2 linked regions of the Drosophila melanogaster genome follow. The protein of the gene in region 1 interacts with the protein of each later gene in a pairwise test. Each region holds a gene or a part of one and is shown in the gene's direction. Other genes may lie near its edges. The genes, in order: narya and vilya.

Evidence for each region.
Region 2: the proteins of narya (region 1) and vilya interact in a two-hybrid assay, tested with the Drosophila melanogaster proteins (2 studies listed by BioGRID).

Annotation. Positions count from the first base shown.
Region 1 is NC_004354.4:19,465,580-19,482,695, forward strand, and holds narya (narya), read left to right. Parts: upstream 1-9,483; 5' UTR 9,484-9,587; coding exon 9,588-10,223; 3' UTR 10,224-10,476; downstream 10,477-17,116. Other genes in the region: kek5 (kekkon 5), read left to right, coding at 1-642, 2,728-3,971; CG32533 (uncharacterized protein), read right to left, coding at 8,603-9,186, 10,531-10,763, 10,832-11,760, 11,829-12,026, 12,089-12,459, 12,514-13,044, 13,105-13,678; mRpS14 (mitochondrial ribosomal protein S14), read right to left, coding at 13,851-14,174, 14,235-14,297; Naa15-16 (N(alpha)-acetyltransferase 15/16), read left to right, coding at 15,043-15,099, 15,439-15,927, 16,019-16,806, 16,873-17,116. UniProt on the Drosophila melanogaster protein: Required for the formation of DNA double-strand breaks (DSBs) together with nenya and vilya during the meiotic recombination process. Plays a role in DSBs processing into crossovers.
Region 2 is NC_004354.4:2,724,900-2,736,958, forward strand, and holds vilya (vilya), read left to right. Parts: upstream 1-1,778; 5' UTR 1,779-1,807; coding exon 1,808-2,328; intron 2,329-2,392; coding exon 2,393-2,585; 3' UTR 2,586-2,669; downstream 2,670-12,059. Other genes in the region: fs(1)Ya (female sterile (1) young arrest), read left to right, coding at 1-1,592; dwg (deformed wings), read left to right, coding at 2,933-3,364, 3,646-4,035, 4,098-5,054; ttm50 (tiny tim 50), read right to left, coding at 5,617-5,807, 5,867-5,990, 6,050-6,578, 6,635-6,818, 6,891-7,149; CG2712 (uncharacterized protein), read left to right, coding at 7,666-8,271, 8,332-8,586, 8,657-9,301; crm (cramped), read right to left, coding at 10,104-10,205, 10,278-10,429, 10,497-10,869, 10,938-12,059. UniProt on the Drosophila melanogaster protein: Required for the formation of DNA double-strand breaks during meiosis together with narya and nenya.

The DNA of each region.
Region 1 (17,116 bases):
GCAGTCCGCGTCCCAATGTCACCTGGGTGTACAACAAGCGGCCATTGCAGCAGTACGACCCGCGTGTGCGTGTCCTCACCTCCGTGGAACAGATGCCGGAGCAGCCCTCCCAGGTGCTCACCTCGGAGCTGCGCATCGTGGGCGTACGGGCCTCCGACAAGGGTGCCTACACCTGTGTGGCGGATAACCGGGGCGGACGGGCGGAGGCCGAGTTCCAGCTGCTCGTGAGCGGTGACTATGCCGGCGCGGTATCCGCCTCCGATGGCATGGGCATGGGCGCCATTGGGGCACCAACCATTGATCCGCAAACGAACATGTTTCTCATCATCTGTCTAATCATTACGACGCTGCTGCTCCTGCTGCTCGTGGCGGTGCTGACGCTCTTCTGGTACTGCCGTCGCATCAAGACCTATCAAAAGGACACCACCATGATGAGCGGCGACGGGCTGATCTCTTCCAAGATGGACAAGACGCACAACGGCTCCATGCTCGAGGGTTCCGTCATCATGGAGATGCAGAAGAGCCTGCTCAACGAGGTCAATCCAGTCGAGAAGCCGCCACGGCGCACGGACATCGAGAGCGTGGATGGTGGCGATGACGTGCTCGAGATCAAGAAGACGCTGCTCGACGACACCGTCTATGGTGAGTAGTCGCAGAGGTGCCAAGGATGTTATATATACTGTATAAACTGGCATAATTGGGTGGAAAAACGCAGGCTGTTTTTTTTTTTTTTTCTAACGCAGTGCGATTTCGAAAGATAAAATAGAATGAGAGGCTATTTTTTTTTAATTATGGCTAACTAAACAAACTCTATTTTAATATTGAAATGCATTTGCACATTCAAATGCTATATATTTACTAATATATTTAAGCGCGAAAATGTGAAGGATTTAAGTTTTTATTGCCAGACAAAATGTTAACCACACACATGCCAGGTCATGATTGCATGTTTTATTTCGTCATTAATGTTTATTATTTGTAAAAACAGCGCATTTAAGTGGCCAGCCACTAAATTCAAAGTGTGGGTCCATTTCCAACTATTTTTTTTTTTTCCACACCTAATGCATTCGCTTCTCGCCAGGTGTTTCAATCAGCAATTGTGATTATGTCCTGGCTTTTGTGCGATAAAAATCATATTATTGCCATTATGTCGTTGAGCAGAAAAACAGGCAAATTGCCGTGTAATGTTAATAAATAACATGACAAAGTTAAAAACAAACAAAAAATGAGCAACGGAGTGGAGTATCTCATGCTCCTTGAAGGGATTAGTTGACAATCATAGCGAATTGATTAGTAATTCTGCGATTTAATAACAAGCTAGATGGCTTATCATCGCCACGTCATCATCATGGCTGAGCATCGTTGAGCAGCAAATGATGCGAAAGTCTCCTGTCAACATGGAGTGTTGTCCATCTATCTCTATTTAGCCAGAGTTTCCATCTGGTTGGCACTCCAGGACGTTTGTCGACGGAATGACCACCATGCCAAATGCTGCTGGCAATGCAAACACACTTGTATTTTCGCGCAAAAGGCAAAACACCGAAATTTCATTTGCCCTGGGTTCCCAAATGGTTATCCTGGCCCCGTTCTCCTGGGGCTCGGGCAGGCCCATCGTTTGTTTGTTGAAATTTTCCAATTTGCTCATCAACTATTAGGGCGAGCAGGAAACGCAGAAAAACCAACAATGTTTGGCAAACAAACACACCCAGCAGCGCACCTACATACCATACATACATACATACATACATACATGGCAATATTAAGCGAGGCTGTCAAACTAAATTGGAATCGTAAATCACGCGGATTCGTGATGAATCTATTAGCTAATCTCGCAGTTCATTCGATCGTCATTCGCGCTACCCATCAGTCATCATACAATATAAATGTGATGACTTGAAACTGATTCGAAGTCTTTATGATGAGATAAGTAGCTAGAAATACTTGGCTTAGTATTATACGTTAAGTAGGCCAAAGGACTATAGTTTCCCCACGATTCCCTTTAGCAGCTTGCATATATTAAAGTAATAATCTGAATACATTTAGTACATAAATAGTATGGTCTATATTATATATTTAAAAGAATATTGAAAGAAACTGTTGAAATGTGGATTGCACCGACAGTGGGAAAGACAATTGAACGCAATTGATGAACTGAACCGAACTGGACATGGACATGGGCAGGGGCAGGGGCAGGGGCAGGACTGGAATGAGCTGAACTGGGGTGAACAGCACTCGTGTGTCACTTATGCCCAAAGTTTCTCGTCCGGATTGGCCAAACGAGCAGTGACATGTGCCAAGTGTGCTCATGTGCTCCGCTTCCACGGGCGAGGGGATTACCCAAGAATCATTATTTTTCAAAAGAAATGGCTATCAAAACTATTTGCAACGGACGCGGATGCCGGATTAAAAGCCACAGAGGGCTTTGGTGCGGCACATAACTACTGAAAATCCCTCGAATACGTCAAAGCGTAGTAGAAAAATCAAACAGAATTAATCCCGCCTTTTCTGTTCACGCAACACAGCTCCTGGGATTATGTATATTCGATCGAAATGTAATTGCATAGTGAAATGTGCCTTATTCAACAGGAGCTCCATAGAGGAGTGGGATTAAGTTGGTGACCAATAGAAGTCGAGTAGGACTTAATACAGATCTTAACTCTCGTTAATGGAATAGTCAGCCATGCAGACATTTAGTAATATGCTCCAACATCTTCTTCTCCATTCCAGTGGCCAATCACTCGCGCGACGAAGAAGCCGTCTCAGTGGCCATGTCGGATACGACGACCACGCCCCGATCTCGACACACCTACGTGGATGATGCGTATGCCAATAGCTTGCCACCGGATCTGCTGGCCTTTCCCGCTCGCGTGCCGCCCACCTCGCCCTCGATGCAATCGTCGCAGTCGAACATACCCGACCAGGTGATCTACGGCATCCGTTCGCCACCGTCGCTAACCAGTCCGGTCTACACGCATATGACGCCGCACGGCATCTACGGCACCAAGACGATGACGGCTCCGCATAACGGCTTTATGACGCTGCAGCATCCCAAGTCGCGCAACCTGGCGCTCATTGCCACCACCAACAGCAGTCGCCAGCACCAGCACCACCATCAGCTGCAGCAGCAGCAGCAGCACCACCACCACCACCAGCAGCAACAACAACAGCAGCAGCAGCAGCAACATCCGCTGGCCACCACATCGCCCTTCCTGCCCGCACCCGTCGTCTATTCGCCGGCCACGGGTGTGGTCATGAAACAGGGATATATGACCATTCCGCGCAAGCCGCGCGCTCCCAGCTGGGCGCCCAGTACTTCCGGTGCCGCTGGCCACGGATCCATTCAGCTAAGTGAATTCCAGAGCCCCACATCGCCGAATCCCAGCGAGACTGGCACCGCCACCACCGCGGAACTGCAGGCGGAGCCAGTGTACGACAACTTGGGATTGCGAACCACTGCCGGCGGCAACTCCACCCTCAATCTGACCAAGATCGCCGGCTCACAGGGGGGCGCTGGTCAGCAGTACTCGATGCGGGACCGACCACTTCCGGCCACGCCCAGCCTGACATCGGTGTCCTCGGCGACCAATGCCAGTAAGATTTACGAGCCCATACACGAGCTGATTCAGCAGCAACAGCAGTTGCAACAACAACAACAGCAGCAGCAGCAGCGACTGGGCTCCATGGACACGGAACCCCTGTACGGAGTTCGGCAACAGGGGATCACGATACTGCCCGGCTCGAGCATTAGCGGTGCCGGACTGGGCCACGCCGCCTACCTTTCACCCGGCTCGGGTGCCGCCGTATCGCCAAGCCACGCCAGCAGCAGCGGTGACTCTCCGAAGGCCGCCAAGATCCCACCACGCCCACCACCGAAGCCCAAGAAGAAGATGTCCGTGACGACGACGCGCAGCGGCCAGGGCAGCACCAGCCAGCTCTTCGACGACGAGGGCGAGGATGGCACCGAGGTCTAGTTTGGCACCCACGGCGATCTCCGCCATCGCCGGCAGCTGGCGATGTGATGCAATGTAGCGATGCAATGCATGCGATGGAATGGAATGGAATAGAATATGATGGGATGGGATGCATTGTGATGTCGTTGCCGACAGCGAGCAGCAGCAGATGCGGATCCAGTTGGATGATGAGGAATGGGGAATCCATGGCGGGCTGAAGCTGATGCTGATAACTTTATTGCGCGTATGGGATGTGGGATGCAGCCCCCCAGTCGACAACAGAATACAACATCAACATCAACATCAACATGAACGTCAACACATCCCCTGTTGCGGCTTGTAAAAATAGCCGGCGGAAGGATTCTGTTCCGTGGTTCACGCCACTGCGTGACTTGTGTGCCAAACGACTGATGTAGGTTTTAGTAATTAAATCGATGAACATGCAACACACCAGTTCTTCTTCTGGTCTGGAAAATGCGACGGGAAATATGTAATCTTCGGCGAGTTGGATGAAAAAAGAAAAAAAAAAAAAAAACAAATAGACAGACATACAAATCCGTATAGGGCGATAAAGTCGCTTTTAGGAGCATCAAATCCCAAATTCGTATAGGCGGATATACGTAAAACCCAATTTTAAAACCACCTTTTTTTGTGTAGACTATAGCTAGTTCGGTACAAAATGCATTATTCGTATATAGAGAGACATATATATATATATATATACACCAACGCATACATACACACACACACAGAATTTTAAACTTATATGAACCCTAGAAGAACAAGTATCCTATTATGAACAAGTATACATAAAGAACTTTCAAATCAACGACAGTTTATTCAAGCGCAATGAAGAGGAATAAAACACTCACTTTTTTTCCAAATTTTTTAAAATTGTACATGTAAAGGCATACAGTTAATCGCATTAGGCTACATACATATATAGTACATAGATACATATATATAAATATATATATATATATGCATATATATATATATTAATGATATATACTTATATTAGCGTAAGCAACCACTTGCATCCTTAATTTTTTTTTTTTAGTTTACGAAAGCCACCACGCGATTCGGGAATTAAACTACATGAAAGTATATTTATAGCGGGTAAGTTTGTTAAGTGCGTTTAGCGGTAGGATAAAGAGTTTGCATTTCGCAATTAAAACAATGAATTGAAACTTCTATGTATACATATAGTCTAGAGGAGGACGCGCAGCTATAATTACGATTGTACTAGTTATAAAGATATATTAAATAAATTGTATGTACATGGACTCACGTATGACATTCTAGGACTAAATATACACCCAATCTCCCATTACCGCTGAGAAGAAACGAAGATTTATAGGCAAAAAAACAAAAAAAACACTCCCTCAAATTACCCTCAGCCGACTCGTTTATTAGCCAAACTAAGCATCCAAATCAGCAGCAATCATTCGCAATACATCAGTACGAATATACCCACAAAGTGTCGTTGAGTCCAATGGGTAACATTGAATGCCAGCTACTAGCTAGCTACTAGTTGAGTCCAGTCCAGACCATTCTTTGCCATGCTGTACGATATTTCCCCCAATCACTCTGCATTTTCTTATCATTATTTATAACAATTTTACACTATATACAATTAGTTTCCTGCAGCGCACTGGCGATCTCCATGCAGATGCGTTTTTATTTAATAAAAATGCACTCTCAGGCTCTGCCAAACTAATTTATTTTTGAGCTTGTGGGGAAGGGAGGAGCAGGTGGAAATAGAGAACGACACTCTAAATAAAAATTAAAAAAGGGCAGGCCTGAAAAAGATCCGAGAGTTAAGAGCCAGTGCTTTCAATAGGTATACATATATATATATATATATATAGAGACGTGTAAAGTACAGCCCCAACCTTGCCCCTAGAAAATCGTTACTTGATGCGGATTTACTAGGCGAATCAACGAAACTACGAGTGTAAACATCCGACCCATACTTGGTTTTAAATAAGCAAAAGTATTACGTAAATCATAAGTTACCTTACATTTTTTATCGTGCTCGTTTTTTATTTTTTTTTTTGTGTGTATTTACAAAGTAATTATTTGTAGAGTTTGCTTTCGAATTTGGACAAACGCAACATGATTGTAATAAATATCTCAGAAATTCAAAGCTCTTATATGCAGGCATTTTGAAAAACCAGAAACAGAAACAAATATAAATACAGCAAAAAAAAAAAAAAAATATTGTAACGTTGCGAACAATTTGTTCAAATTAGCTCAAAATCAAAACAATTATAATTATAAATTGTAATCTAACTGTAATTGATAGAAGGGTTCTTATATATACGTTTTTTTTTATAATTTTGCATAATTTGCCTAACATATAAAATATTAAAATAAACTATGAATAAAAGGAATCCAACCAACCAGGTGTTTGTTATTTACTCGAACTGGGACTTCCTTTTTAGCCACAACAACCAAACAACTATTTTCTGCAGTGTACAAATGTCGACAGCTGTTCGCCTAATCGAAGCACTTCGATTCATGATAGAAAATTTAAAAAGTTAATGCCCGCCAGGGTGCTGTCGCCCTTTTTTTTTCAATATTACGCAACATAAAACTTATATTGAAATCAACTTTTAAACAAGCCAGTGTCTGTGTGTGCGAGTTTGTGTGTTTTTTTTTACGATGATGTTTTTATTATTTGATCAACGCACTGTTACCCATGCGGCAACTTAATTTGATCTGCTTAAATTATTTTATTTTACAATGTGTCTTGGTTACTTAAGACTAACAGATTTTTAATCCTAAAAATGTTAGGGAGAATTATAATAGTTGATATAACATAGTAATTATTATTTATTTGATTATTCTAATGAATTTTAAAACTAAGACTTTCTAGGTCAAAACCAGGTTAGGGAGGTCATGAGGGTGGTGTCGCTTGAGTCTTCTTTTGGCTCTAGTCCGAGGGTCAGCATTGACCACAGCTGCAGTTCCTAGCTTCCTTGCTAGGCTGTTGGGGTGTACATTAAGCCTTTCCATATATTTTTGGGCGATGTTCTGGAGCTTGTCTCCTAATTTGGGCACCTTGAGGTCGCGTTCGATGTCTCTTGTTCTCATATACCAAGGAGCCCCCGAAATTCTTCTTAAGGTCTTCGCCTGTAAGATCCGGATCTTAGTGCGAGTTTGTGTGTAAAAGGACAGCATGCTGCACACGCCCGAAAGCATGCAACACTTTTTTGTAAGACATCACAAAATGTTGCCGAAAAGTTTTTTATTCTTCCATTTACTTGTATCGGCAAAGAGCATGCTGTTTTTCAGCTGAAATGTGCAGCACGAATGTATATAATTGACCAGCATTAACGGGAATGTCGCTGTAGCCATGTTACACGGAAAATCTAGGTCTCCGGAACAAGCAAGTATCCTTCGCCAAGTGAACGAGGACTTCTGGGACACCACGCCAACTAGAGCATTGTCTACTGTTTTCCGAGGCATTTAATGGATATTTATTTGAAAATCACAACGCATTTCAAAGCATTTGATTGCTTGCGTTGTCCCACTTAAGTAGGCAATGCATTATGTAACGAATCAGCCGAGGGTATCCCATAAAACATAACTAGATATTTATTGAAAAAGAAACAAAAAAAAACGCAACACATTTTAGTAGATTTTCGCATTGGATTGTTTGTGCTTAGTGCTTGGCCCATTTACATACGTACACAATACAATTTGTAACATGTTAGCAATGGGTATCCCGCAGTCGGGACACACGCCGTCCATCCTACTTTTTTTCTTGCGAAAAAGCGGACAAGCAAGCTGAGCACAAAACTCGACAGTAGCAACAATGTAGTTGCAAAGAAGTAGACAGTCGGGCGAGGCAGAAGGAGCTGCTGCCCTGCCGAGGAAGCGCACAACTATATCTGAAAATTGGACAGCTTGACAGGCAAAGACCTTTTCATAAACAAGCGTAGCTTCTGTGTCCCGAGATTAGGACAACACAGCACGGTCGAAAGGAGCGCCGCATTAAGGTGCAGATCCAATACAAATCTCTAAATCCCTTTTTGTCATCATCCTAAGCTAAAAACTATTTTGTAAGCTACAAAATTGTGCGAGATAAAAACTAAATCCTTGTGAGGAATTCACCCAGCTCTGTTGTCAGTGGCAAATTGAAAGCTGGACACTTGACAATTTTACATATTGCAATATTCAGTTAAAATAAGCAGCGCAGCTTGAGCAACGACGACCTATTGTGTAGCTGGCTAACTAACAGGCATACGTAGTTATCAAATCCCATATTTCGTATCCGATAATTTATTCTATAAATTCATTCTTTCAACAATTTGATTAAAATGGAAATTTCCCGGCGGCTTCAATGCCAATTGAACGGGGCATAATTGATTTTAATTAAAAATTCCATTGTTTTGGCCCAAAAACGAAATATTTTTGGTGGGAAATCCGAATACAGATTTCCGCCCAACATTTTTCAGTGCGTTTTTTTTTTTTCATTGTAACATGGCTGAAGGGTCCCTCAATTAAAGAAAGCAAATGTTTTTCATAACATTTTTGTTGATTTCCAAAGGGGACAGGCCAAAAGTTAATTTGTTTAGCAATTTTTCAATATGTTAAATTAAATATGTTTTTTTTTTTATAATTAAATACGTTTATTCAGACGATTACTTGTTATTTCGACACTGCTTTTTGTGGCGCAGAATGTCGATCGTTGTCAGTCGCAACTCCCTCTTGCAGGAGTTGCAGTAATAGCCGCCGGAGGAGTGCGAACTGGAGCTACTGGCTACCTCCGTTGAGGACTCTGTGCTCGTTGTTTTCGCCGTGCGGCTTTCCTGCGCCTTGCGACGCTTGCATTTGGATCGGTGCACCAGCTGCTCCAGCACATCGAACTCCTCCAGCTCGAAATCGCAGCGCGTACACTGCCATGGCTCTGCCCGTAGAGTCGCATCCATGGCCGTCGTCCACTGCTGTTCGGCCAAGCAGCTGTACACCACGTGCTCCGATACGTTGAGGCCGCCCTTTTCCTCGTTCGGTGTCATGGGAAAGTCGACGGCAAAGGGGTTCTCCTTGAGCTCCGCGAGTCGCGCGGAAGGTGCCTGATGAGTGTAGAGCCTCTTGATGTCGGCGGGAAGCAGTCGGCGTATCGCATACGCCACATCCAGCGCCATATAGTCCACAAGATCTTGCCACAGCGCGCTGCTCCTATCGTCACTTGAATGGGAAGGTGATTCCTGTTTGCTTTTGAGGTCTGCAAATTGGACAGCATTAAGTACATACGTATTAGATAACTAAGCTCCATTTACTAAGAATGCCAAGAACAACAAGCATTTTCTATAACTGAACAGTTCAAATATCGACAATTGTATATGTAAATACCTAAAAAAAAAAACGTTTTTAAGCATATGTCGTTCCCATCATTTGATTGTTACAATAATAACTGCTTTAAAATATTATGGTGAAAAATCTTTGAACCTGAATACACCACTTGCAGGAAAGGTGTGGTGAACAGATTGCAAGGCGAGAGTGTTCTCACCCGGCAGAGTGGCCAGACCGCTGAGGTAAGATCCGTTAGCCCCATTCGGATATCTAAATCACAATTGTTTAAGAAGAAAACTTGCAAGGCGAGGAAAAAAACATATATTGGTCACTATGTTTCGAGTGCATTGCAACAAGTGTTTCCGTCATCGCAAAACTGATCCAGCCGTGCCCTTCCACTTGACCCAGTGCCGGCACGTGATCTGCGGCCCCTGTTTGGGCCAATCCTCGCTAGAAAAGAACTGCCCGCTATGCGGCCAGGTGCTCAAAGCGATCCAGATCAACCGGGATATGCCAACTAGCGTGGCCAACTACTTCGCGGATCCCCTGCGATTCCAGCAGATCTACCGCAAGATCTCCAAGTTCCAAGCGGACCAGCGAGCATCGGACAACCTGGGTTTCTACCGTCAGTTGCAGCAGCTGGAGCAAAACAAGCGCCAGCTGGAGGGCTTTTGCAAGATGGAGGCGCAGCTGAACCAGAAGGTCGTGGAGGAAAAGAAGCGAATCGCTGAATTGCGCACCTACATCGCTTACCACGAGAATGCGCAGAGGATGACGAGGCGCCGGCACAGTGCAGGTGAGAGATTCCATACGCCGGAGTTCAAGGAGGCCTGGAACACCTCTATCAGCACTTCGGACAAATCGCCGTCGGATATGCCTTCTGATAGCTCCCGCCGGTCCGCGGACTTGGATACCCAGTCAACGCGGAGAAGATCTTTTGGCAGCGACACTAAAGGCTTTCGTCTTTAGTCACTCCAATTACTTGTATAATTTTTTATAGGAATTCTAAGACTATAACCACTTCTAACGATTCAATTAGGTTTTGACCTTCCAGAAGATTCCCAATATAAAGAACCAGATAGATTATTAAGTTGCGCTTAAGGTACTAATTATCATCCGTATTCTATTACTATTACTATTCAAATCGAGACGTTCCACTACTCATGTGCGGGATATGATAACCATAAACGGAAATATAACAATCTACTTTAGCTTACAAAACTCAAAAATCCCCCTAGTAGTTTTAATAATTCCAACCAATCTGGGGAGCACTCACCATCCAGCTTGTCGTAAAGCAGTCTGCTCCAACGTCGGCGCAACTCGATGGCCCGTCTTAAAAGCTCCATACCGCTGCCGGGCATGGGCAGATCCAGTCCCAGCCAGCCGTCGCAGGCGATCTGTGTGATGCCCGCGTTCGTGTCAATGGCGAAGCTGAAGAGCAATAGCGTCTGGGCAGCCGGCAGGCGGATGCAGTTAATCAGATAGGGCTTGGCGGTCTCCAGCAGCGACCTGTTGTAGTACGTAGTTTTTTGGGGATTAGTATGGCGCTGCAATTTCGTACAGACGCACGCACTCACTGGTAACAGAGCAACTGGTGGCGCTTGCTGAGCGGAAGCTTGGGCGTGTAGAAGTCTGGCTTGGGCAGCAGATCGCTTTCGGTCAGCTTAAGCAGCTCGAAGTGCTTGGCGAATTGCGAGTTTGGGTGCTGCAGCACGAAGGGCTTGAGCCGCGTGTGGAAGAACTGCTGACCACCACCCTTGCAGTAGTTGAACTCGTCGCTGATGGCCAGCTGTGGATAGAAACCGCTGCCGAGCAGCAGCTTTAGCAGCACAACGACGCTGTGTCGGTCGAGCCGCGACGAACGCTCCAGCAGCGCCAACTGTCGAGGATCGAACCGCAGCCGGAAGTCCACGTCCCTCATATCGTCGCCCTGCGCCTCCTCCTGCTCCTCCTCGTCCTCCGCTACCCGTCCAGCGCTCTGCTTGAGCAACTTGCGCTGACGGGGTTGCTCAAATCGCTGGCGGCGCTTCATGGCTTTCAGCTGGCGCAGCTCACCATGTCGCGTTGCGCGCTCGGCACTGGTCAACTGGGAGTCCGAATCGCTGGCCACCACCATGCCGCAGCTCTCGAGGATGCGCTGGAACTGTTGACGCAGCTTGGTCACCTCATAGAAGCGCTGCTCCTCGATGCCCAAGCGACGGCACCACTGTCGAGTGCCATCGCGCCGCATCTTCAGCTGCACCCACACGTTGTAGAGTCGCACCAGGGTGAAGAGGTCGCCATGATCGGACTCCAGAGACTCCCGCTCGCGCACGCAGCGCTGGTCTGTGTGGGCACGATTCGTCAGCGGGTTCTGCACGCTCAGCATGGCGGCCAGGGTCAGCAGCTGCTCCACCTCGGGAAACACGCTGCCCATAAGCAGCATCTTGCCGATGGACAGCTCTACGGGCAAGTTGGCCAGCGATCTGCCCAGCGGTGTGATCTTTTCCTCCACGCTGAGGGCGCACTGCAATTAGAGATTAGAAGTCCGGTTGAATTGGGGTCTACACAGTTGGGTATCGGTGAAATGCTCACGTGTTGCTTTAGCGCCAGAATAGTCTGCTCGATGCGCTCCGTTTCCGGGGCCTCTATGAATGGAAAGGCCCGGACGTCGGGCAATCCCATGGACACCATCTGCAGCAGCATCGTGTCGAGCGGCACGCGGTAAATTTCCGGAGTGGGATATGCCTCGAAGGCGTTGTATTGCTCCGCAGTGTAGAGCCGAAAACAGACCTGCGCTCGGAAAGTGGGAATGTATGAGAAATGGAGCAACCGTGGGTTAGGTTCTAGCTTACACCTGGTCCCGTGCGACCAGCACGACCCTTGCGCTGATCCGCAGACGACTTGGACACCCAGAACTCTTTCAGACGCTGGCCCTTGCAGGTTGCGTCGAAGTTCATCTCCTTGACCTTGCCAGAGTCGACCACGAACCGCACGCCGTCCACGGTGAGCGACGTTTCGGCTATGTTGGTGGACACAATGCACTTGCGCATGCCCTCGGGTGCGTAGTCAAACACCTTGCTCTGGTCCGCGATCGCCTGGCCACTGTGCAGCGGCAGGACGAGCCAATGAGTCTGTTCGGTGGCATACTCGTGAACGGCCTCCACAACAGATTCGATTTCGTTTACGCCGCTAACGAAGATAAGGACGTCACCGCGCTCGCTGGCTAGGTAAGATGATTATTAGGCGATCCCTACAAGAACATGATAACTAAACTCACTCGGATACTGCTGGTCAATAAGGCTAAGCACCTGGACAAATGGAGCTGGATCGATGCGGTTTCTCTGAGAGCGTTTGGATGTCGCCTGTCCCGCCTTTAGTTCCAGTGCAGGAGGCGGCAGATAGCGCAGTTTGATGGGAAATAAACGTCCCGGCACCTGGACCAGCCGTGCGCCCTCCTCGCCGAAGTAGCCGTGGAAGAGCTCCACGTTGATGGTGGCAGACATGAGTATCAGCTTCAGTTGCGGCCGCGCCCTCAGTAAGCACTTGGTAACACCCAGTAGAAAGTCACCGAATAAGTTGCGCTCGTGGATTTCGTCCAAAATCAGGGCATCGTACTGGTCTAGGTTGGCGGCCACCGCTAGTTGCCGCAGCAACAAGCCCTCCGTAATGAAAAGGATGTTGGTGAGCTTCGTCCGACTGCGCTCGAATCGGATCTGGAATGCCACCCGACTGCCGTAGTCGTCCAGCAGCTCGTGCGCAACGCGCTTGCACAGGGAGACGCAGGCCAAACGGCGCGGCTGGGTGCAAGCTAGGGCAACAAAAGGTCGATCATTGGTAAGGCAGCCTCAATGGGAAGCCGCATACTCACCAATGCTGCGGTAGCCAAAGTCATAGAGATACTGGGGCACCTGTGTGGACTTGCCGCAGCCAGTGTCACCGGCCACGATGACCACGCGGGACGTGTCCAGTGCCTCGCGCAAGTCCTTCCGGAAGCGAGCAATGGGTAGATTGCGTTGTGTCTGCCGCAGCTTTCGGATACGCTGGAACTTTTCCGTCTGGCGGAAGTCTAAGTACACCAGCAAGATATGACGAAACTGGGACTGCATTTGGTCGCGCGCCTCCTGAAGCAGTTCGTCAGCGTCCAGCCGCAATGCCAAGTGCTTGCTGCGGTGATACGGCTGCATGCTGCTCAGCTCCGCCTCCGCGAGTCGAGGCGGCAGCACGGGCTGGCCCGTGGAGCGCATCATAGCCTCGTACTTGCCCACGAACTTCCAGAAGTCAGCCTCGTTCTCCACCAGACTCCTGCCTACCTGGCGGCTCTTGGCCTGCAGCAGGCCCACGAGCTCCGCCTTGTGATCCAAGAAACTGAACTCGATCAGATTGATCTGAGTCCTGCGGCGGCTGGAGGCATGTTCATCTGCCTTCTTCTTTATCCGAGACATTTTCACCGAAGCAAAATAGTTCCTAAAATTTGTATTTACTTCTTCCCACAGCAAACGATAACACTGCTACCGATAAACGGTCAGCTGTGCAAGAACCCAAGCCGATAACACAATTCTGGAATGTGGATGACTACTAACAAGGTTTATTTCCCTAGATTGCTAACAGAAGATGCTACCACATGGCGCGCTGGACGCCGGACAGCTTATTGTAGTCGGCGAGGTGGCGCCACACGATTCGACTGAGCCTGTACTTGTGGACAACTCCGCGCGGACGTGACGTAAGCGCGCAGCGTTCCCTCACCCGGACGAGCGATGAGTCCCGAGGAAAAGCAGCGATCTCGGCGTCGGCTACCTCGCGTAGCTCCGGCGGCAGGATGTCGTTCTTGCGCAGCGAGTTGACTCGCAGCCGCTCCACGGCGTTCTCCTTGACGCACTTGCGCCGCTTTACGTCGCGAATCATCTTCCAATCGGCATACTTTGTGCGCACCTGCTGCAGCTGTTAAGACAATGGGCTGGATATTATGTTCGCTTAGCTAGGAGTACGATGTTAACTTACCCCGCAGCCGGCTATTTGCACGGACTGGCACACAAAACCCCCGATCCTGGCCAGAGAATTCATGTTGTTGCTTTCGGTGGTGCTCTTCTTCTTTTTGCCTCTTTACTTTGTTCGCTATAGTGTCGGTTATTAACGCGCGGGACTATCGATAGGCAACAGCTGATGAGCCCATACAGTGAATTGCAAATTTATTGCCTATTATTTTCGTATACGAGAACTGGGTAATTTAAATGAAAAATACGATGGCGAAGCATGCGGTGTGGAATCTATAAGGTTAAAACATGGAAAGCCGGCTGACTTTCGACCTCTCGGAATAAGTTTTAATTAACAATTCACTCGCTTTACATAACCGCCTAGCAGCGCGATTCAAAACGAGCGCGTTCACACCCATTCGCAGTGGCGTACAATTGCTGTTACCATTCGCCGCGAAGCGCGTGAACACGTGTGCCAGTGTGCGTGCGCCAGTGCGTGCATGTGCACAGTCGAGCTTGCCAGTGTGGGTGTGTGTGGTCGTCTCACGTCGATTTAGAAATTTGCTCGTGCCCGCAGTTTGCCGTTCGCCGTTTTCGCCTTGTGTGTGTGGTGTGTCTACTCCGTATAGACTGCCAATCGAGTCCAGCTCCGCTTCCGAGCAGCAGCAGAAGAGGCATCGCAACTCAGCTCAGCTCGCTGATCCACAGATCCCGCAGTCCGGTGCAATTCACGGCCAGGCGAAAACCCAGTCCCAGTCAGCAGCTGAGGAAGAACAAGAACGACCAAGCAGAAGAAGCAGCAGGCCGAAGAGAGGAGCAGCCGCAGCCTTGCAGAGATGCCTTCTAGCGATCCCCTGCCGCCCAAGGAGGGCGCGCTCTTCCGCAAGCTACTTGTAAGCCGGTCTAGGTGACCCTACTGTCCCATACCTTCCCCTTCCCTTAATACCACAACTGTGCCGCCCCCTCCCTTTGTTCGTGCCTTTGGCCGGCTTCGGCATCCATGTGCTTTTTAGCCGAAGTCAGGTGGAGAGTGCCTATTTTTGGCAGAAGCAATCCGGAGGCGATGCCTCCGCTGCTCGAGATGTGTGGCTTCAGCGGGCGATTGCACAGCTCTGCTCAACCGCCGACGTTTGTGGTCGGCCCGCTGGTCTCATAACCTCAAAATTCGCGCTGCGCGGGATGCGAGAAACTTTGACTAAAACCTTTCTTCTCTGTGCTTTCTTATCAAACAGAAATGCTACGAACTGAAGCAGTACAAAAATGGCCTTAAACTGGCCAAGCAGATCCTGTCCAACCCCAAGTACATGGAGCACGGCGAGACGCTGGCCATGAAGGGGCTTACTCTGAACGGACTGGGGCGCCGCGAGGAGGCCTACAAGTATGTGCGTCTGGGTCTGCGAAACGACCTGCGCTCCCACGTTTGCTGGCACGTCTACGGACTGCTCCAGCGCAGCGACAAGAAGTACGATGAGGCCATCAAGTGCTACCGCAACGCGCTCAAGTGGGAGAAGGATAACCTGCAGATCCTGAAGGACCTGTCGCTTCTCCAGATCCAAATGCGCGACCTCGAGGGCTACAAGGAGACGCGCCACCACCTGTTCACGCTGCGTCCCTCGCAGCACGCCTCCTGGATCGGTTTCGCCATGAGCTACCATCTGCTGGGTGACTACGACATGGCCAACAGCATCCTGGAGACGTTCAGCCAGTCGCAAACGTCGATTGTATGTATCCAGCTGCCTGCCGATTCAATTTTATATTCCAATTCAATAAAATGCTCGTATTTCTTGTTCCATGTCTCTGCTCCGTGGGCAGGAGGCGCACGATTATCGGCACTCGGAGCTGCTGCTCTACCAGAACCAGATACTCATCGAGTCGAATCGTCTGCAGCAGGCCGTGGACCACCTGACCAAATACCAGGGCCAGATCGTCGACAAGCTGGCCGTTCGCGAGACCATGGGTGATCTGTACATCAAGCTGCAGCAGCAGGAGAAGGCAGTGCCCATCTTTGAGTCTCTGATCCGCCGCAATCCGGAGAATGTGCTCTACTACGAGCAGTACATTGCCGCCCGCCAGGTGACCGACTCAAGCGCCGTGGTGTCGATCTATCGCGTGTTCCAGGAGCAGTATCCGCGCGCCCTGTGCCCTCGCCGCCTGCCTTTGAACATCGCCAACGGCGACGAGTTTCGCGTCGTGACCGACGAGTACCTGCGCCGCGGTCTGCGTAAGGGCATTCCGCCGCTATTTGTCAACGTGCGCACTCTGCACCAGATACCGGAGAGGGCGGCCGTTATCGAGGAGCTGGCGCTGCAGTATTTCGAGAACCTTACCCGTTCCGGCCACTTTTCTCGCGAAGATGCCGACGCCGGAATTCCCGTCGAGCCGGCCTCGGCGCTGGTGTGGACGGCACTGTTTCTGGCGCAGCACTACGACTACATGCGCGATACGGACCGCGCTCTGGAGTACATCAATGTGGCTATCGACCATACGCCAACACTCATTGAGCTGCTTATCACCAAGGGTCGCATCTTTAAGCATGCTGGCGATCCCGTGGAGGCGTACGTCTGGCTGGAGGAGGCCCAAAGCATGGACACGGCAGATCGGTGAGTGAGCCCCATGGACTAGCATAGACCTGCTGAACCATGTAACCATCAATGTTTTCCCCTCAGCTACATCAATTCGAAGTGCGCGAAGTACATGCTGCGCGCCAACATGGTGCAGGAGGCAGAGGAGATCTGCGCCAAGTTCACTCGCGAGGGTGTCTCCGCCATGGACAACTTGAACGAGATGCAGTGCATGTGGTTCCAGACGGAGTGTGCCCTGGCCTATCAGCGCATGGGTCGCTGGGGCGAGTCGTTGAAGAAGTGCCACGAGGTGGAGCGCCACTTTGCCGAAATCGTCGAGGACCAGTTC
Region 2 (12,059 bases), about 17 Mb from region 1:
TCAACATGCGCTGGAAGGCCAAGAGCCGTGTCACCCACGAGGAGTTCATCAGCGACAGCGTCTCCTCCATACGCAACCTGTCGTCGTTCAGCAACAGCTCCATTCGTCGCTCCATTGGCCAACTGGGCGTGAATCCGTCCGAAACGATGGAGAAGGGCAAGGTCATACGCTCGACGTCCACACCACTGCACGTGGAGTCCGTGTTCGCCAAGCCCAAGGAGCCGATTACCTTCAATGCTTCCACTGGCGGCCACGTGTCCAGCATCTACCACGAGGAGCCCAGTCCGACACCCGAAAGCAATCCCGTCCAGCAGCAGCAGCAGCAGCAGCAGCCGTTGCAGCAGCGCGCCTGGAAAATGGGCGCCCGCAACAAGATGAGCGCCGCAACGCCGCTGCGCCAGGTCATGTCCAAGAGCATTCAGAAGGCCTTCGTCGAGCACGGCGGCATGATGGTCCACCAGCCACCATCCGCAGTGGTGCAACGTCGCGTGCGCCTCGATCTCAGCGAGCACAGTTCGCACGAGGCAGCAGGCTCGTCCGCTCTGGACCTGCGACTCTCGCCAGCTATGCGGCGCACCCAGAGCGAGTCCAGCGCCTCGGAGGTCAACAGCGGCAGCAGCTCCAGCTACAGCACCTCGCGGAATGCCGATCTATGCAAGCGGCAGTTCTTGCTGTCCGCACAGAAACTCACCACCGAGTCGATCATCATCACGCGGACGAACTCCAGCTCACAGAAGACCTCTTCCACGGTGTACAACTCATGCGAGAGCGTCGAGATCATACGCTCCACCTCGGAATCAGCGGAAGTGTGCCACGTGCCGGCCATAACGCCCATCCGTGTCACCGGTGCCGGCATCAACAAGAAGCAGATCAAGTTCGAGACGCCGCCCAAGAGCAGCCAACAGATGCGATCGAATGGCGAGGGCGATGAAACCAAGGACCAGTTTTTCACGCCGGAACCGGGAACGCCGGAAATTCCAGAGCGTCGTCATCGCCAGGCGATTGTGCCGCGCCAGCTGAGCGGCGAGTTTTCGCCCAAGAAGGATAAGCCGAAGGAGAAGGGGCTGGCGGTGATGGCCCTGATCTCGCCGCCATTGCAGCAACCCAGGGTGCGTCCTCCGTTGCGGGAATGCCGTCAGCAGAGGGTCTATAGCGGCGTGCAGGATGTGGGCGAGCCGGAGGTCGTGGACGCAGAAGAGGAGGACGAGGTGTTCCGCCCCACAAACGCCTCCACGTGCAACGACAAAAAGCTGGAGGCGCCCAACTCCGGTCGCCTGTGGTCGCTGATGAGTTCCATGATGCGACTGCCGGCCAGCTTGCGCGGCGAACGCGAAAAGGACAGGGACAGGGACAGGGATTCGGATAAGGAGAACGCTGGTTCGGGCTCACTCATCCGTCGCTGCGCCTCCATCGCTGGATCCCTGGTGCGCCCCAGTGCAAGGGACTCCTCCATGGAGGACCAGCAGTGCCTCAAGAGAAAGCGCACTCAGACGCTGGACAGCCAGTACTGTAGCCCGCTGTCGCCGTCCAGCTCCTCGAAGCGCTACCGCATCCGGCCCAGGGAGCCCATCGAGCGCATGCGTCGCCAGTAGGTTTTAAGCTTTTGCCTGCGAATCTGTGTTTTAATTGTGAAATTCTTCTTTTTTTTTATCGTTTAATAAATGTTTGGTCTTGCATTAACCGTTATGCGCAGCAGGAGTTGGCAGGTCCAGGAGCTTAGCTCGTCTCATTCAGAGCTGCCAACTCTATCTATTGATTCTGTTATTAATTAGTTGCGCACAAGATCGAAAAGCTTAACGGAGCGCCCATGGCGAAATCACAAGCAGGTCAGACTGTCGAGCCGGAGGCGTCCAAGCTGTGGATCCACTGCAACAGCTGCTGCGCCCTGTTCTGCGATAAGAAGCACACCTTCTTCCTGCTCGCCTGCCATCACGTGTTCTGCGAGCGGTGCGTCAAGGTCTCCGCCGGCCGCACGCCCAGCGACGCGCCCATATTCGAATGCTCCACCTGTCGGCGGAGCGTGCGCGGCCGCCAGTTGACCAACTCGATGCCCAACCACTTCAAGCAGCTCTTCCATCCGGAGCCCTTCACCATCGGCAACGACTTTGTGGAGACGTTCCAGCGCGGCAATCATCGGCACTTCGACAAGTACAAGGAGAGGAAGGAACTGGAGATGGATAAGCTGTTCAAGGACATCGAGGTGGCCAAGTCCGTGTGCCAGAAACGCTTCCTGGAGGCGCAGATGCTGCGCGTGGAGCGCAAGAAGCTGATGCAGAGGTCGCGCTACATTAAGGCGGAAGTCGCCAATCGGAAGGCGGAAATGCATCGGTGCGACATTTGGATTCCATTGAAAATAGTTCCCATTAATGCATTATATTTCTACCCGCCTTAGGATGGCCCAGGCCTACCGAAGCCGCTCGCTGACTTCGCAATCCTCGTCATCCGCCCAACGCTCGGCGCGCGGACGTCCTCGTGGCCGTGGAACAGCCACACAGTCCTCCAGTCGACGCCGATCAACGGAATCAGCAAAGCGGCAGCAAATCACCAGCTTCATACACCCGCCGAACAACTCGTTCGATCTGTGAGCTAGTGCTGATAGGTAAAGCTCTGTTTTACAACCGAGTATATATTTTTTGTAAATAATCAGCTTAAAACAATAAAATGGTGTCATAAGCTTTAAAATAATAAACTGCTAAGTTAACAGCGACCGTTAAGTTTCAATTAACAGTTTCGTTAGGATAACAGAAGTGTTGAAAGTGAATTCGATTAATCGAAATCCATCGATGACTGCTGCACCGATAATATCGCATAAGCATCTGCTCTAAAAACGCATAAAAATTGAATTGCAAGAAGTAGAAGAGCGAAACGTCATAAAAGCGGCAAATCCGGCGCTGTCCGACAAGAACCACAGGGGAAAGCGGATAAGGACATCATGATGAATAGCAAGATCGCCGAGGTAGTGGTGCTCAACTGCCGGACGTGCACGCGTGCCTGCAAGCTGCACAAGCCGCTGCAGGAGGAGATCGATCTGGGTTCGGAGGGCAGCACCACGCTGGCCAGCATGCTAAACTACTGCACGGGACTCTCGTTCGAGCCGCAAGACGGCGCCGCCATGCCGCAGCACATCTGCCTCCACTGCCTGCAGCTGCTGGAACAGGCGTTCAACTTCAAGCGCATGGTCATCGATTCGGACGAGCTGCTCCGCCTGGGCCTGGACGAGGCGCGCTGCTCCAGCTTTCACGAGAGTCAGACTCATAGCCCCAACCAGAGCCAGCAGCACGACCAGCAACAGCAGGCGTTCGACTCCACCGAGGAGTACGTCATGATCGAGATGCTCAACGAGGAGCAGGAGAACGTCGCCAATGTAAGTATCTATCACTTCACGGTGCAATGGAATGCAATGGTTCTTGTCCACTCCCATAGAGGATTAACGATTGCTCACAGCGGGCACCAGTCACTCAAATCGATTCACTTATATTGTGGCTCTTTGGGATGTAGTAGGGTAGGTCGGTGCCAAAGGAGTGCAACCTGTACCTCCATACAATGGATAACTTGTCTGCTCTTGGTGACACTACGTCTAAATAGGAGATGGGCTTCATCAAGTCTAACTCCAAAGTAAAACCATAACACCTTCTTCATCCGCAGTTGGATGAAGAACTAGCAGAGGAGGATCGTCGCATCTTCGCGATGACCGTGGATGAGGAGGAGGAGTTTCTCACCGAGGAGGTGGATCAGGATGACGAGCTGTCGGAGGAGGAGCACCAGCTGGCACAGTCGGGCGACCAGCAGGAGGAACACATCACTATGGAGAGCGTGCATGAGTTTCAGCCCGCCGAAGTGGAGTATGTGACCATTAAGAATGAGTTCGAAACGATCGTCACGGAGGAGGATGAGTTCGAGGTGATGAACGACTCCGGCGCCCACGACGCCATACTGGACTGTCAGATGATTGTGATACCCGCCGAGGGAGCCATTGACGAGGTCATCGGCGAGGAGACCCTCGAATTGGAGGGGGATGGGCGCGAGGAGCATCTGGTGAGAAAGGTCAAATTATATTGCACTAGAATACCATTTATCCTCCATTCACCTACACACAGCTGCCGGAGGCGGAGGATGTCTGCGAAGATGAGGACTTCCTGGAGGAGTCGCTGGACTCAGCGCCGCCGACCGCTGGCGAGGCGCTGCCGTACGTGTGCACCGTGTGCCAGAAGGCGTTCCGCCAGCAGTGCCGTCTCAACCAGCACATGCGCTCCCACGTGGACGAGAAGCAATACGAGTGCGAGGAGTGTGGCAAGCGTCTGAAGCACCTACGCAACTACAAGGAACACATGCTGACACACACAAATGTCAAGCCGCACCAGTGCAGCATATGCGGCCGCTTCTATCGTACCACCTCCAGTCTGGCAGTGCACAAGAGAACTCATGCGGAGAAGAAACCCTACAACTGCGATCAGTGCGGCCGCGGATATGCGGCGTTCGATCATCTGCGGCGCCACAAGCTCACGCACACGGGCGAGCGACCATACGCCTGCGATCTGTGCGACAAGGCCTACTACGATTCGTCCTCGCTGCGCCAGCACAAGATAAGCCACACCGGCAAGAAGGCTTTCACCTGCGAGATCTGCGGCGTGGGACTGTCTCAGAAGTCGGGCTACAAGAAGCACATGATGGTCCACAGTGGCGTCAAGGCGCACAAGTGTGATGTTTGCGGGCATGCCTTCACCTTTACCAGCAACCTCAATGCCCATGTTCGCCTCCATTCCGGCGAAAAGCCGTTTAAGTGCGAGGTCTGCGTTAAGGCCTTTCCCACAAAGAAGCGACTGGCCAGTCATATGCGCGTCCACAACAAGGAGTCGCCGGTGACGGCCACCGTTGCTGTTCAGTCCATCAATCCTCCCAGCCGACAAGCGGGCGCAGAAGGTGCGACAGGCGGAGGTGCGACAGGTGGAAGTCCGACCGGTGGAGGTGCGACCGGTGGATCGGCAACCAACCTTCACATAACCGAAGTTCATGAGCAGCCGGTGTCCACCTCCAAAGTGGTGATGGTGCTGTGAGCGGCCACCAAGCCGTGGGAGCGGCTCTAGAATGTAAGCCTAGGCTAAGGATTAGACACTTAGTTCAATAAAACTGATTTTTGTTCCAGAAAAAACTGAAAGAAAATTCGACACTTATTTTTTACATACATAAAAATAATTTTGTTTTCACGATAACTATCTCAGCAGGTTTAGCCACTCTTATCCATCAATTGTGATTAGATAACGCACAGCAAGTTCTCCACTTTCGTAACGAAACACATGGATGTCTTGTTTTTGGTTTTACGGTTAAGTCGTCTCTTTATAATAATAATATTACGATTAAATTGCCAAAAAACAAAAACAAGCAAGTTTAGTTATTCAATAAAACAAAAACATGCGCCTCGTCTTTTCCCAAAGGAGCAAAAGACAGAGCGTGCCTCCCAATCCTGCTGTCTGCTGTCTGCTACTGCTTCCCACTAACTACTCCAAAAGTCGACGAAAAATATGGCCAGTGTGCTGCTGCAGGGCGTGTTTGTTGCTCCGGCGCAGGCGGAAGGTTAAGGTATGCGTATGGAACGGGTTGTGCGGTATGGCCAGCCTCCTAGCGGCCGAGAATGTTGCGCGACCACTGTTTGACCATTGGCTTGGTCTTGGACTGCTCGATGCGTTCCGCCTCCAGCATTTGTTCGGCCAGCTTGCGCTGGTTCTCCCGGAACTGGTTGATGGGATCGTCGAACTGGCGATAGTAGTGGAGCACCTCGCGCACGTCGTCCACGTTGTTCTGCGCAATTACTGTAGCGAATTGCAAGGGTCAGTGTTTAGCTTTCAATGTCACTTGTGGCGCAACTTACTCTTTAGGAAAGCGATAAGGTCCAGCAGTTGGCCATCATCGTCGTTGCCATGCCAGCGGGCCAAGCCGAATGTGTTGTCCGGATGCATCTTGGTGGCATTCGCATCCCAGTCCACAACAATCACCTAAAATACTCCCTTCTTTATAGATGATTGCAATAGAAAATACGTTGTGCATGACTTGCCTTCTTGAGGTCGCGATTAAGGTTGTCCAGGTTCTTCACATGATGGCCGTCCACAAAGTGCGTGGCATCCCTGACCAGGCGGTACATAATGTAGCCGTTGGGATCGAGGGCATCCAGGATGGGGAACACGGTCATGCCCTGTTCGGCGGTGAAGACGACAATTTCAAAGTCCTTGGCGCACTCGGCCAGAAAGTGGTCGACGCCGGGACGCTTCTTGAAGCGCCAGCCAGTTTGGTAAGTCCAGTCCGGATGCACCAGCACGTCCTTCATCTCCAGCACAAGCGTGTAGCGCGGCTGCACGTACGGCGGCTTGAGCGGATCGGGCAGCAGTTTGGCGCGCGACGGCTCCTGGATCATGCGCTGATAGTAGTGAATGCTCTTCCACATCCGCTGCAGATACTGCTGTACCAGCGGCTTGTGTGTGAACTCGTCCTCGATGGGCTGCCCGTTGGGGTCCACCTCGGGCTTGCCGAACTCGTAGACGGCCCAGAATCCAGCAGCCACGGCGCTGCCTCCGAATATTGCAAAGCTGCAGCAGGAAGTATTGTTATAATACTGTTACGCATTGAATGGGCGTCAGCTTACCCCAGCTTCATGCGCTTCCAGGCACGCTCGTTCTCCTTTTCCTCCTCCTCCTCGCGCTTCTTGCGCTCCTGCTCGGCGTTGCTGTCCACCTCCGGCGAGGTCTGAGGAAAGAGCTTGGCCAGCAGCGGGGCATTCGGTGCGACCTCGGGCGCATCATTGGGGCCAGTGGCTCCAGCTTCCTGCTCTGCGAAACGAAAGTGGCCAAGGATGAATGTTTAGGACTCTACTGTTTAGGACTCTACCGTGAATCACTTACTGGTTGTGCTGCTGTAGCCACGCGCTGTGTGCAGGATCGAGAAGAGCGCCGGAGCAGCCGCTGGCAGTGCTGTGCAAGTGAATAGTCGGAGGTACTGCTGCTGGTGGTGGAGGAGGTGGTGCTGGTGCTGGTAGTGTTGGTGGTAGTGGTGGTAGTGATTACCCAATGCGCGGTGCTGGTGGATGTGGGTAAGAAGACGCGGCGTGCTAAGGCCGCGCAGCAACTGGAGGACGGTGGCCGGTGCCATGCTCATGCTCATGCTTCCCCCTTCCTTCCCGATATCGAGTCCTAGAGCCGTTCACGAGTCCTGCTCGGATGGCAGCGACTTTTTACTTATAAAAAATTCCAACAAAAATTTCAACTTCCCACCGGCACGGCGTTGGCGTTAGGGATTTTATATACTGTCCACTGCCAGGCGGCACCAGGCGTTAGTACATTTAGCACGTGGCTCTCAGCAGGTATAGATCGGCGATTTTCAAGCCAAATCTGGCGGGATTTTGCAGATAACTGCGTGTGTACATATGTTGCCTCCGGCAATCTGACTAATCACAGTATTAAGAAAATTTTAAATTAAAATATTTTAAATAATATGGAAATACACAACCTTTGACCAACCACCAAGCCACTGTGCCTCTGGTCACTTCCAAGCTGATGTGCCTGGCTAGCTATTTTGAGTGCCACCACTAACGCATCAGCTGGACTTTGGCATCACTGTTCGGGACGCTAAATTAAGTTATTTATTTAAACGTGTATTATCTACTGTCGAGTTCAATCCATGACGACCATGTCGCCGCCGTCCCCCATGGACGCCTTGTGCCGCGTGTGCCACACAGCATCGCCGCGCTGCCTGCCGCTCTTCAAACCGCTCGACGATCCAATTTCCGGCAAACCAGCGACGCTGGCCAGCATTTTAAGCTACTGCAGCGGTCTGGAGATCCTAGAGGCGGAGCTCTTCCTGCCCCACCACATCTGCCCGGACTGCGTGGCCAAGTTGCGGCTCTCGCTGGAATTCAAGCGGAGTGTCCATCGCATGGACAGAATTCTGCGGCAGAGTCATGCGGACTTTTGCCGCAGCAAAAAGATCAGCGCGGTGAATACTAGGGCCAGGCTGTCAACCGAGATTCCGGAGGATTTTGTACTCGTGCTCGATGACCAGGAAGTGACTGAATATCCAGCAGAAACGATACGAGATGAGGAGCAACTCCTGGTCGTAGAATCAGATGAGGCGGAGAGCCGGCTGGAAGCGCCAATTGTACAGGAGGAGAGGCTGGATATTGCACTGGAACAGCACGAAGACGATCTCTGCGAGATTGTCGACGATCCGGATCCGGAGCAACGTAGGAGCAGGTTAGAAAGATCCGAGCCAGCGCTGCAATGTCCCGTGAGTTGCCTTTCCGAATTAGAAGTAAGTAATCACGAAATAGTTTCCCATCTTCGGCAGATTTGCGGCAAACAACTGGCTAGGAAGCGGACCTTTCAGTACCACATGAGGCTACATGGCCAGCCAAAAATTCGCCAAGAAGACAACGACCACTGCATTGAAGAGTGCCTCCAAGTGGAGCCCGTTTTGCAGGCCAAAGCTGGCGAAGATGTCTACGAGATTGTGGAGAAATCAGCACAGACTTCGGCGACGCAGAAAACTTTGCCCAGTGGAAGCCGGCCTTGGAAACCCCTCAATCCCTCCCTACAGTGTAAAGTAAGTTGGTCATCGCAGCTCGCAAATAACTCAAAGCCGAAGGTCATCAATTCTCCCTCCATTCCTTTAGATCTGTGGCAAGCAACTAAGCACCAACAACTCCTTCAAGTACCATATGCAGCTACATGGCACGGCCACGCCCTACGTTTGCACAATCTGCGGAGAGTCCTTTAAGACGCGAAACGCCCGCGACGGCCATGTCACGCTGCACGATCGTAACAATCCGAACAGGTGCCCCACCTGCTTCAAGGTCTACCGGCAGGCGTCCTCGCTGCGCACACACCTTCTAATCCACAGCGGAATCAAGCCATTCGAGTGCAGCATCTGCGGCAAGAGGCTAACACAGAAGTCGGGCTACAAGAAGCACATGCTCACCCACACGGGCGAGAAGCCGCACGGCTGCGACATTTGCGGCCGTCGCTTCCGCTACTCGAGCAATCTGATTGCCCACAAGCGCTGCCACAGCCAGGAGAAGCCCCACCCGTGCCCGGTGTGCCAGAAGCGCAGCTTCGGCAGCACATCCGAGCTCAACCGCCACATGCTCGTCCACAGCAGCGAGCGACCGTTCGGCTGTGAGCAGTGCGGCAAGTCCTTCAAGCGCCGCATCTCACTCGCCATCCATCGCCAGTCGCACAAGGCGGGCAGACAGCGGAGGCGGGCCGAGCATGAAGTGGGTGTCCAACTGGAGGAGCAGGACGAGAATGTGGAGACCTGAAGCTAGATCGCTTATACTATCGGCTTAATGTACAAATCGGGACATTTAGTTTTAGTTCAATTCGCTTTTATTTTCGGTACTTTCCTTCGCACAATAACAAGTTTTAAGTGTGTTCCTATTGTTAGGATAAATTTGATTGGTTTTCCCACCCAAAATAATGCGTGTTTCATACATACATATATATTATATATGGTCAACAAACATTTCGAGTCTTCTGACGATCCTTTCGATTTGATTTAATGTAATGAGCTTTAGTTTATCAGGTGGAGGCGGGAGAATCTCTATACATATGGAAGTTTCGATTGGGTTTTGTAGTTGATAGTGGCTAAGGGTGAGGGTGCGGGTGCGGGTGTGGGGACCTTAAGCTAAGCTACTATGCTGCATTGAACTTACGCGCTAGAAACCAATTAGAGTAGTGCGGAACGAGTGTGCGAGCGGGTAACAAACAAAATGGGGCTGGGAATTAAAAGTGTGGATTGGGAGCTACGCGTTACGCTGCCGCGCGATACATAAAGTTAATGTATAAATAAATATATATGTTCAGACAATGTGAGTGCTTGCTAATACTTGGCATACATAAAATGAGTATAGATCACAAAAAGTCGCGTAAAAACATAAATGTTAGTGGGTATAACGTGGGTGGGTGGGATGAGTGAGTAATGAGTAATATCAGTGGGACATGAGGCTTGGAGGCACACGTGGCTTTCCTTTCCATCGTCCAGCTTGGACGACTCTCATCTCAAGATCCGGACTTGGGTACACAAACGAAGAGGACACGACCGGATTGCCGCAGTGGCCACTGCTAATCTTTCTCCTGCTGCTGCAGCAGGGCGGCGATTTCCTGGAACTTGTGCCGAAAGTCCACGCTGCTCTCGCTGATCACCGACATGCTTGACGACGGATCCTGTGGATTAGGTTAGAGGTCGGTCCACAATGAATGTCGCAAGTGGGGAGTGTGGCATGCGTTCTGGCTTACCAGTATATCCCTGGTGGCATCAATCTCATCCAAATGCCCCAGCAGCGACGTCAACGAGAAGTCATTGATATTGTCCTCCAGCCAGCGTGCGTTGGATGTTGAATCTCTGAGCAAGTGCATCGGACTCATGCTGCCTTGGAAGAAGCTTTGAGCTGCCGCGAAGAAGATAATATAAAATTTATACAAAAATGAAAAGCGAAAACATGCTGATGCTCCTACTTGTGCTCCCGTCTTGGGCCGCCTCGTTCAGGGAACTGCTGACGTCCGTCCTGTTGGTGGCCACGCAAATGTCCAGATTGGGCATGTCTCGAGCGCTGACCTGCGTGGCCTCGTCGTTGAGGAACTCCAATGCCCCCTGATCCCCTGGCTCTTGATCCTGTGAAGCGGTCGTGGCATTCATGCTGGAATCGGGTTTCGAGCCAGAGGTGCTGATGCCAGCGGAACTTATGCCATCCACGCGATCAATCGGCTCGAAAAGGCCACTGTGGAGTTGGCGCACACTCAGCAGATCGTACGGACGATCGCCAGCGGATGTGGGTGGTAGGAGACGGCGCTGCACAAGCACCTGACGACTGATCTTTTGCCGTGTGAGCTAGAATGCACGCAATGAATGCAAATCAATTGGGATTTGGGTAACGCCAATAAGGAAAGACCACTTACCGCTGAGAGTTGGCGCACAGGATCGATGTTGGATATCGGCCGCCGCACTGGCAGCATCGGCGTTCGGAAATTGCCCTCAACCATGCCGCCCACTCCGCCGGTGGCCGTCGCCTCTGCCAGCTGCTGCGCCTTGGTCATCAGGTCCCGCTTGCGATCGCACGTGTGGCCGCAGTTGCATTGGCGCTTGCGCACGCGCTCGCTGAGATTGGCCACGAGTAGCAGGTGCTTCAGCTTGTTGCTCACCGACGATGTGGTGACGGCCCTGACGCGTTCCACGCTATCACAGTCGTTGGGATTGTAGGGCAGCGAAGTGCTCGAGGTGCTCGAATTGCTCGATGCGCTGACGTAGCAGTTGGAAGATGCGCCTGTTTGGTTGGCGTTCGAGGCGGCGCTGCCGGTTTGGGTGGCCACCGACGAGGAGCTAGGCGTTACCGTGTTGATTGTTAGTATGCTGGATGCCATGGCCGTCGAACTGTCGACCTCACACCAATAATACTCCAGCTCCAGCTTGGAATCCTGGCCAAAAACGACATACAGATCACCGATGGTTATATCCGCCGCATTCGCCTGCGTCCAGCCCTTGCGGATTCTCTTCAGTATATCGTCGCTGAGCAGTGGCTTAAAATTTCGAGCCTGTGCCGCGGCCGCCGCCTCCTTAGCTTCTTTGCGTTTGGAGCGGGCTACGGATGGAGCCGCCAAAGAACCGGTTACAGGAGTCGAAGGAGCGGGAGCTGCAGCACAGGAAGTTTGTAGAACAGATGTCGCCATGGCATTAGATAGATCCGCGTTGGCCGGATAAGCCTGTTGTACAGGATCGTGCGATGTTTCAAGCGCAACAGCAACAGTTGTGGTATCACCAGTGGTGGCCGAAAGAGCTGGAATAGTGGCTGCTTGCGGATGCTGCATGGCCTCCAATATATCGCCCAGAAACTCATGAATCTCCTCGCCCAGCTCATCACCGCTGCTATTCTCCATCTTCATCAGATTGCCCTCCAAGGGCCCGTCGTCCAAACTCTTCTCCAGCGGCGGGCTGGCACTCGATTTGGGTTTCTTTGTCTCCGGCGAACGCTTCTCGGAGCCGCTTTCCGTTCGTAGTCGCTTGTTGGCCGCCACCGACATGCC